2 linked regions of the Oryzias latipes genome follow. The protein of the gene in region 2 interacts with the protein of the main gene of each other region in a pairwise test. Links are inferred from orthologs where the notes say so. Each region holds a gene or a part of one and is shown on either strand. Other genes may lie near its edges.

What was found.
Region 1: the proteins of thap1 (region 2) and tpm3 interact in binary tests that used the Homo sapiens proteins (3 or more experiments, as listed by UniProt). The two-hybrid records come from large-scale screens. The link is inferred for Oryzias latipes from reciprocal best matches to the Homo sapiens genes THAP1 and TPM3.

Annotation. Positions count from the first base shown.
Region 1 is NC_019869.2:21,739,432-21,743,647, forward strand, and holds the start of tpm3 (tropomyosin alpha-3 chain), read left to right. Parts: upstream 1-1,384; 5' UTR 1,385-1,495; coding exon 1,496-1,609; intron 1,610-2,202; coding exon 2,203-2,328; intron 2,329-4,216. UniProt on the Homo sapiens protein: Binds to actin filaments in muscle and non-muscle cells. Plays a central role, in association with the troponin complex, in the calcium dependent regulation of vertebrate striated muscle contraction.
Region 2 is NC_019870.2:29,950,297-29,954,450, reverse strand, and holds the start of thap1 (THAP domain-containing protein 1), read right to left. Parts: upstream 2,801-4,154; 5' UTR 2,580-2,800; coding exon 2,509-2,579; exon of another isoform or gene 2,440-2,508; intron 874-2,439; coding exon 681-873; intron 1-680. UniProt on the Homo sapiens protein: DNA-binding transcription regulator that regulates endothelial cell proliferation and G1/S cell-cycle progression.

The DNA of each region.
Region 1 (4,216 bases), on a different chromosome or scaffold from region 2:
GTTGTCTTAATTCTAATCCAACAATGTCCCCATCTATTAAAAAAACTTTTCTTTAATTACAGAAAACAAAATATAGCATATTCCTATGTTTTGCATAATTTCATCAACTATCGTCAAACTAACAGAACCATTAAACACTTCTCTCTGTAGAGTCGTCTCCACCAGCATGGCCAAGCTGCAGACATTCTTTTGTTCTGATCCGTAGGACAATGTCAGCCAAAACATGTTTATTAATAACCCAGCAGGGCTTAGACAGGAATAAGCGACACATTCACGGTTGTGTATTCCCTGGAGAGATCCCGTTATAGTTATCCCAGGGCATTTGGCACTCAAGCACACAGTTAATGTTTCTCTTGGCATTGTTTGCAGCTCCTTCTTCTTTCATCCTATAAGACGCTGTCACATTTTCAAATAGAGTTAAAGGGATCATAAAAAAGAAAGAAACCCTTCAGGTTCAGTTTCAGTTGAATTGACACACACCAGTAAAGGCTGCGGTCTTGCATTTGAAGTTATTGTTGCTTCATGGAAGACATTTCAAACACCACAATTAGGTTTTTGCTGTGGTGGGGGCATAGACTATTGGAGCCCCTCTAAAAACAAGAGTGGTTTTTCTCCTTAACAATATTTGCATAAACTGTACGGTTATAATAAAGCTTTCAGTTATTAATCAGTGCATAAATGAGGGAAGGAGTTTAAAGCAATAACAATTCTAATATTGACACCCGATGAAAAGGCAACACAGAATGTCAGGGACAGAATATTATGAGGAAATCTCAACTGAACTGCCTCAATATTTTTGTCAGAAAATGAAAGGGAAAAATGATTTTGACTAAAATGAGGTTTTGAACTTTTCAGGTTTTATCTGGTTCCTTTTTGTCTGGGAGGGGGGAAAGGGGTGTTACAAGGTAGGTAATAAAAACATTTTTGCCAAAAAAGTTTGATTTCTCAACTCACTTTAACAGATGTTTACTACAGAAGACCGGAATAGCCATGTCAATTTTTTTCTCTTTTCTCGAGATAATAACCTAAAGACTCATTATCATGAGAAGAAAACACCAGTTTTCTAAGGATAACAGAATAAAACTAAAACTTATCTTGAAATCTCGAGAAGACAGAAAAAAAATTATTTTAATTGGAGATTGCTGAATGTTGTGTGTGATTCTCCACAACCCTGTAAGATTACTCATATTCTAGATGGAATAAATACAACACAAAACAGGAATAACAAATGTTTGAACCTTGATTTATGATGGAAAATGGCAAAACACACGTGCTCTTTTAATAAATGTTGGACAGAGTTCTGGGACAAATGGGTGTAACGTTACCCACTTTGTCACAAAGGGTGGGATTAAAGAAGGAGGAGCTAGGTGTCTGCTATATAAAAATATCTTGAGTGAGTTTGGTTCTTCCACCAGCTTAGACAAGCTCTAGAACCTGTTTTAGACAAAATCCTCTGTTTGTTTTCCCTGTCAGCTTCAGGAACCCAACAGCCAAAATGGAAGCCATCAAGAAGAAAATGCTCATGCTGAAGTTGGACAAGGAGAACGCACTGGACCAGGCAGAACAAGCTGAGGCTGACAGGAAAGCAGCTGAGGACAGAAGTAAACAGGTGGGTCATGGCAATCTATAATGTAAATACATTTAAAAGACCTACAATTATCTAAAAAGCACAACATTTTTTTTGGAAAAAGCCATAAAAACCAACAATCACTGTTAACATTTTAACTCCCAGCTCAACAAAAAAGTTAAGCACATAGAAAAAAAAAATTGTATTTTAAAAATTGTTCTGATCACCGACCCCAGACAATGATTACTAAAGATTTACATTTTTTTTACTGATGGGGTTGTTGGAAGGTTAAAAAAAAGCTCCAGAATTTAAGCCTCCTCTACTTTGAGGGTAAATAACAAAAATTGTTTTCAGTCACTGTTGTCAATAAAGATAAAGTTAAAAAATATGTACTACAACTTCTTAATTTGGGGAATAATAAAGTGTCTTTGAATAAAACCAGAGGTCTTAAACTGAAAACAAAATAAAAAAATTCTTAGAGGGTAAGAAGAATTGTTTAAACATAATATACAAGGGAGTGTAATAACATAGGGCAATTTCATATGCATTAAGTGCAGCTCAGTATATCAAAATAGGACTTTCTTCAGGTTACCTGCTGTGTAGATGATTTATTTTCCTTGTCGGTTTGTCTTCAGCATGAAGATGAACTCCTGCAAATGCAGAAGAAGCTGAAGTCGACGGAGGATGAGCTGGATAAATACTCTGAGGCCCTGAAGGACGCTCAGGAGAAGCTGGAAGTTGCTGACAAAAAAGCAGCTGATGTGAGTAATCATGCAACACTAAGCTCAGCTGCTGCACATAGGATCGTTAAACTGAGAAAGAACCGTAAAATACCTGAATGTTGTTTTTTTCCAATTAAATAAACCCACTTTATATTATCTCTGCATCTTTGGTCAAAAATGATCAGTTTTATATCATTTTATAACATAATAAACAGGAGGTATACCATTGGAAAAAACCTATCCTCTGGGTTTGGGATGAGCCATGTGTGAGGATGACATGAAAAGAGGTTTTGCATTGTTGTGCGGTGAGAGCCCGGGGCACAGACTCAGACAGAGGCAGTTGATGTGGTTCGTCCCAGCCAGGCCTGTCCTCCTGTGCTGCATTCCCAGCATGCCTTGCCTGCCTCTCACAGCTGTTGGTGGGATTTAAATCCTGATTTCCACTATGATGTCACCATCATAACCTTGAGTGTAAGCCTCACAATAGTTCCAGTCTTTTTTTGGTCCTTCAGCCATTCCTGTCAGGTCACTTAACAGTTGTTTTAAGTCTTCAGTCTTGACACTCTGTATAAACCTGACGGAAGTGTTTTGTTGGCTTTTTACAAACAATATTTTATAATTTCTTTGTTAAAATCTTCCAAATTTTAAGAACAAACTACCTTTTGCAATATTATTTGTAAATTCTAAAAATCACAATAAATACAAACATCTGTTTAGGCTGTGCTCCACTTGTCCCGAGTTGGGATATGCTGCCATTATCAAAGGATAGATGAACATTTCTGATTTAAGAGCAGGAGTAAGCTTGCAAACCTTGTAAAGCCTTTTTTGTGAGGAACAGGGAGCGGGTAGTGTTTCACTGGTTCTCTAAGCAAATACAAATCAGGCAGCTCTGAAGGCTCACCAATTTCCATGTTTAGATGATGCTTAGTTTAAGTACCTCCTTGATGTTGTCGCATCTCTTGCCTGTGTCTCCACCCTCGAAGGGGCTGCTTTGGTTTTGACTTGTCGGCCACCTCCTCTGCCATGCCTCAGTCTGCAGAGGACCTTTGCATTCCTGCTGGCTGCAACCTCCCCGCTTCATCCTCTGTTTTCCCTGACTTCCCCAGTTTCATGCTCCATCTGCGTTTTATCTTAGGCGTACACTTTAAGAAGATCTGGAAGCCATTTTGGCATCTTTAGAAATGCTTTGAGAAATCTATGATTCAAGGTTGATACTCAGCGACAGCTGTGTGTTATTCCTCTGTATAAATCTTACACTGGCAGCTGTAATTGGAAAATAAACACCTTAATAAAGGTGACAAAGTCAATAAGTATTCATCAGCCTCTAATTCTATCCATTGTCCCACTTACTAAGATAAAAGAGGTCAGTAATGTTAATCATACATTCAATGAGAGAAAGAATGAAACAAAAAATATTCCAAGAAATCAAGTAGTATGATTTTTAATGAGTTATTTGTATGATGGTGCTGAAAATAAGTATTTAGCTCCAACAAACAGGCTAGAATTCTGTCCCACAGAGACCTGTGGCTCTTCTTTCCTGTATTAATGTCACCTGTTTGAACTTATTATCTGAATAAAATACACCTATTTATTCCCCTAAACATTCAGACTCCAACCTCTCCACCATGACCAAGACCAAAGAGCTCTAAAAGAGACAGCCCTTTAAATATAAATCCATTTGTCACCTATTACATAAGAATACTAAAGCTATAGAAAAAGTCCAGTTCAGATCCAAAAGTCTTTAAATAATTCTTGCATCTTTACTCCTGGAGGGAGGTGGCAACTGTGCTCCAGCAACAAAGAAGCAAACCCCACCGGGTTCATCGGGCTGGGAGCTCCTGCTGGATCCATGTTTGGCAAAGTATTCTGTCACAAGAATGGGCAGACGGCTGGATCCAAATGCAGCATGTTTATTAGCTCAGCTAAA
Region 2 (4,154 bases):
TTAGCAGTTCAAAACCCGTCGGCTGAAACCCTCCACGGATGACGAAAGAGACACGTATGAACGACTGAATCATACGAGGAAAATGTGCAATAATGTAGGTCGCGGCTGTGAGACGACCTTCAGGTTAGAAACCTGTAGAAGTCAGAAAACGTGAGAAAAAACTAAATCAGAGCAGATCAGTCTGTTTCAGATTAAAACCTTTTACAGTAAGGCTGAGCCGTCGCTGGTCTGCTGACCCACAATGCACCACAACACTGTTTTGCTGACCCACAATGCTGACCCACAATGCACCACAACACTGTTTTGCTGACCCACAATGCTGACCCACAATGCACCACAACACTGTTTTGCTGACCCACAATGCACCACAACACTGTTTTGCTGACCCACAATGCACCACAACACTGTTTTGCTGACCCACAATGCACCACAACACTGTTCACCTGCTTCCCAAACGGGTTTCAGGCCGTGAAACCTACAACCACCGGCCTAGACGCCATGGACACGTTTGTGGGCGGAGCATCACTAGCCGAGTCAGAAACTGGACCAATCAGATTTCTGTATGAAATCCATGCATACAAATCCATAAACATACTTTATGCTACAGACCCCACAGACAGAAAAGACGCATGGCTGCCCGTGGTCATGGCGCTCCTCATCGGCCCTCTGAGCCGCGTTACCTTGAAGCTGAGGTTGGCGCTGAAGAGCGACGGCACGGCGTTCTCCTTCAGCACGCGGTTGTTGCACTCCCTCTTGAAGCAGTCGCTGGTGAAGTGTTGGGAGCAGATGTTGCTGTACTTTGTTGGTTTGAAGTTGTTCCTCCTCATGGCCGCCACCCACTTCCCGCAAACGTCCGGACGCGCCAACGGGAACCTTGCAGTCCGGGACGACAAACACCACGTTCAGCCCATCGCCGGACACGTTTCTGTGCTTCCGTCTGGTAAACAAATGTTTTAATCTCCAGTAAAGTTCTAAACGTATCTAAAGGTGCAGAGGCTCCCGTCACCGTAAACTCTGCCACAGAGAGCCAACAAGGTCCTGGTAGTGACTTATTCTCCCCCCTCCACGACCATTAACATTAAATTAAATCACACCATCTGTGTGACCTTTTTTGCGCCACATTTGACCCCTCCCCCTGGCGGAGCGGTGAGCTGCAGACCATTTGGTGGTTTAACCCCCCAATCCAACCCCCTAATACTGAGTGTCAAGCAGGGAGGCATTGGGCCCCATTTTTATAGTCTTTGGTATGACTCTGCCTGGGTTTGAACCCACGACCTTCCAGTCTCAGGGTGGACACTGACCACAGGGCCGCTGAGCTGGTTGCATATTCATTTCTCATTCCTGTCAGTCATTTCAGTCTTAAACTGCCATCACCCAATGAGCTGTCAAAGTGTTCCCAGAGGTCTTAACGATGGTTTTTTTTACCATTTTCCTTTTCTAGAACAGTGTCTGCAGAGCGGCAGGAGCTGATCACAAATTCACCTCCGAGTTGTGGGCGGGGCTATTGATGTGGACTAAGCCCGCCCTGATTCCCATCATCCCTTTGCCCCCCACCTAACATTAGCAGAGCAACAAAAATGGCAGCATAACGGAGATATCCAGCCGTCAGCTTTGACTGCAACAGGAAAGTACGGTGGCCCTGAAGTACAAATCACATCAATAAGTCATGTGACGCAAAACCTTTTTAAGATCACAACATACAAACAAATATTAAAAAAAATATACAGAAAACGAAATGAAATGATGTAAAATGAAACAATGAGAACCCGGAAAAGGTCCATAGGACTGAGCTGATTGGACGAAGACGCTTGACCTTCATGTCAGTCAGAAGCTGACATGAAGGTCGTGGATACATCCGTCCCATGATCCTCCAACAAATCCACCTTTCTGGTTTCTCCTTGGGCTTCATTTTCCCAACATTTCTAGGAATAGTTTTAGTTTCTGATTATTTGTTTCGCTTTTTATTGGTCGTTGTGAGTTTTTAAATGCTTCACGTTAAGCTATTTGCACTTCAGGGTCACCGTAGAAAAGATGAACCCATTGAAAGCCTTTCTTTGCCTCTAGTGGGACTCGAATAAACGTGTTTGACCGGTTGAATCCAGTGTAACGGTTTGACACCGTAGGATCACTGCAGGTATCGAACGAAACCGGAGCGGACTACCGTCCTTAAGTCGTTCAGTCCAAACGTCTGTACCGGACAGACCCGGATGAGTGGTGAAGGTTAACCTTTGACCTCCTAAACCTGTTGAAGCATTGCTCAAAGGGTACTCGGTAGTCGGGATTCCAGCAGTCACTCGGTTGACCGAGAACCACCAGCAGCATGTGGACCCGCCGGTACCGGACGGACGGACTCATGACCCAAACTTTCTTTTTTATTTTCCCATCATGCACCGTGGATCGGAGCGCGAGTGAGGGAACGTCTCCGTTAGGTGCGTTTACCGGGAGGTTTTCTTCCCGGAAAACCGGCGCTCCGGCGGCGGAGCGTCCGCCTCTGTGGGAGGGGCTTACTTGTGGAAGGAAATGTCTTTGTCTTTGTGGTACCGGTTCTTGCAGCCGTACGCCGAGCACGTCTGGACCATGGCGGCGGCCCGGACAGCAGCCGAACGCGGACAGAGCGAGGGCTTCGCTGCCACTAACAACTATGGCGGCGGAAGAATCACGTGATCTGTGTTCTGAAACGTGATTGGCTCAGGCTTTCTCTGGGCATGCGCAGAGCGCTGGAGAGCTGCGCTTCCTCCAACGGGCGGGAGTGGAGGAGACGAGTTTGAACCGTCAACAGGCACAGCTGCCATTGATTGACTGATTGATTATGAGAGCATTTCAGGGATACAGAGATCTGTGTCACGTGTACAATAACATTAACGTGTCTTCGTGTCAGTGCAACATTCATACCTTTAAAAAAAAAAAACTTACTAAAATAACAAATAATGGACGAAACGACATAAAACGGGCTTGGATGTAGATATTGAGTAAAATGTCACACAATCCAGCTTTTTGTTCTTTTCCCTTCTCGTTCTTATTAGGAAAATGTAATGAGTTTTATTGAAGCTGCTGTGTTGTCGTGACTCATTCTTTATAATATAAAGTTGTGGGGAAAAAGTGCTTCAATATGTGTTGAAATGGTTGAAAGTAAAGACAATGATCCTAAATATGAAGCAGACGTCCACAGTCTCCTCAGTGACCAGCAGACGTCCAGGTTTCACGGTTTCTGGCGTCTCCAACTGGTTTATGGCGGTTGGAGGGAAATGGTTTTGGGTCTTTCCGTCTCTCTTCACCAGCGGCGTTTGCCTGAAGGCAGCAGGTCAGACGGCGGCGGTCCGGGGCGTGTAGCGTCTCTGATGAGGCTCTCTGCTCTGCTGAGGCAGCGGGAGCTGTGGGGGGGTTTCCAGGGCGGGGAGGGGGCACCCAGCATGTTTTGGGCGGTGTTGGCGAGCCGCCGGAGAGCCTTCCTTCTAGCCGCTTTACGGCGGCCGAACCAGGAGCATCTGCAGTGTTGGTCCACGTTCCGCGGTGGTGAGGTCAAAGGTCACCAGCTGTCTTTGGGTCATGTTTGTCTGAGGGAACGGTCTCTGTTGGGCTTTTCAGCTGCTCACTGGGGTTCATACTCACATTTTCTCTTTGAGTTAAAAAAAGGGAAAGTATAGATCAAGTTGTTTCAGAGACTCACAGAATATTCCTTTTTTTAACTCCTAAAACCTTTTTTAGACATTAATGACCAAAGATTTCTGTCTTGTTTGGTTGATTTGGTCAAAATGATCTGTAGGTGTCCTGGATGAAAGGGGTGGGGGTTGTTGTTCATCCTGTATTTTACTCTAACCCAGCCGTCGGCAGCCCGGGCCGGGCGCCACCGCGGCACGTGGAGGGTTCTTCTCACAATGAGCTTTCTTTCCCTATGAGGTCATAAGGCAAGGGTCCAATCATGCAGTGCCGTTACTGTGACTCCGCCCACCTCTATAAATACTAAGGTTGCGTCCAAATTCCCGCCCTAACCCCTATGTGCAGCACTATTATGTAGAGCCCTGGATTTTAAAAGGAATTTGGACGCCACGTTCACTACTTTTGTTTTTTAACGGCGGATTTGACGTCATCGATTTCACAAAGTAAACATAATTAATGTGAGCGTTTTGGGACGATGATTTATGATCCACTGTCTC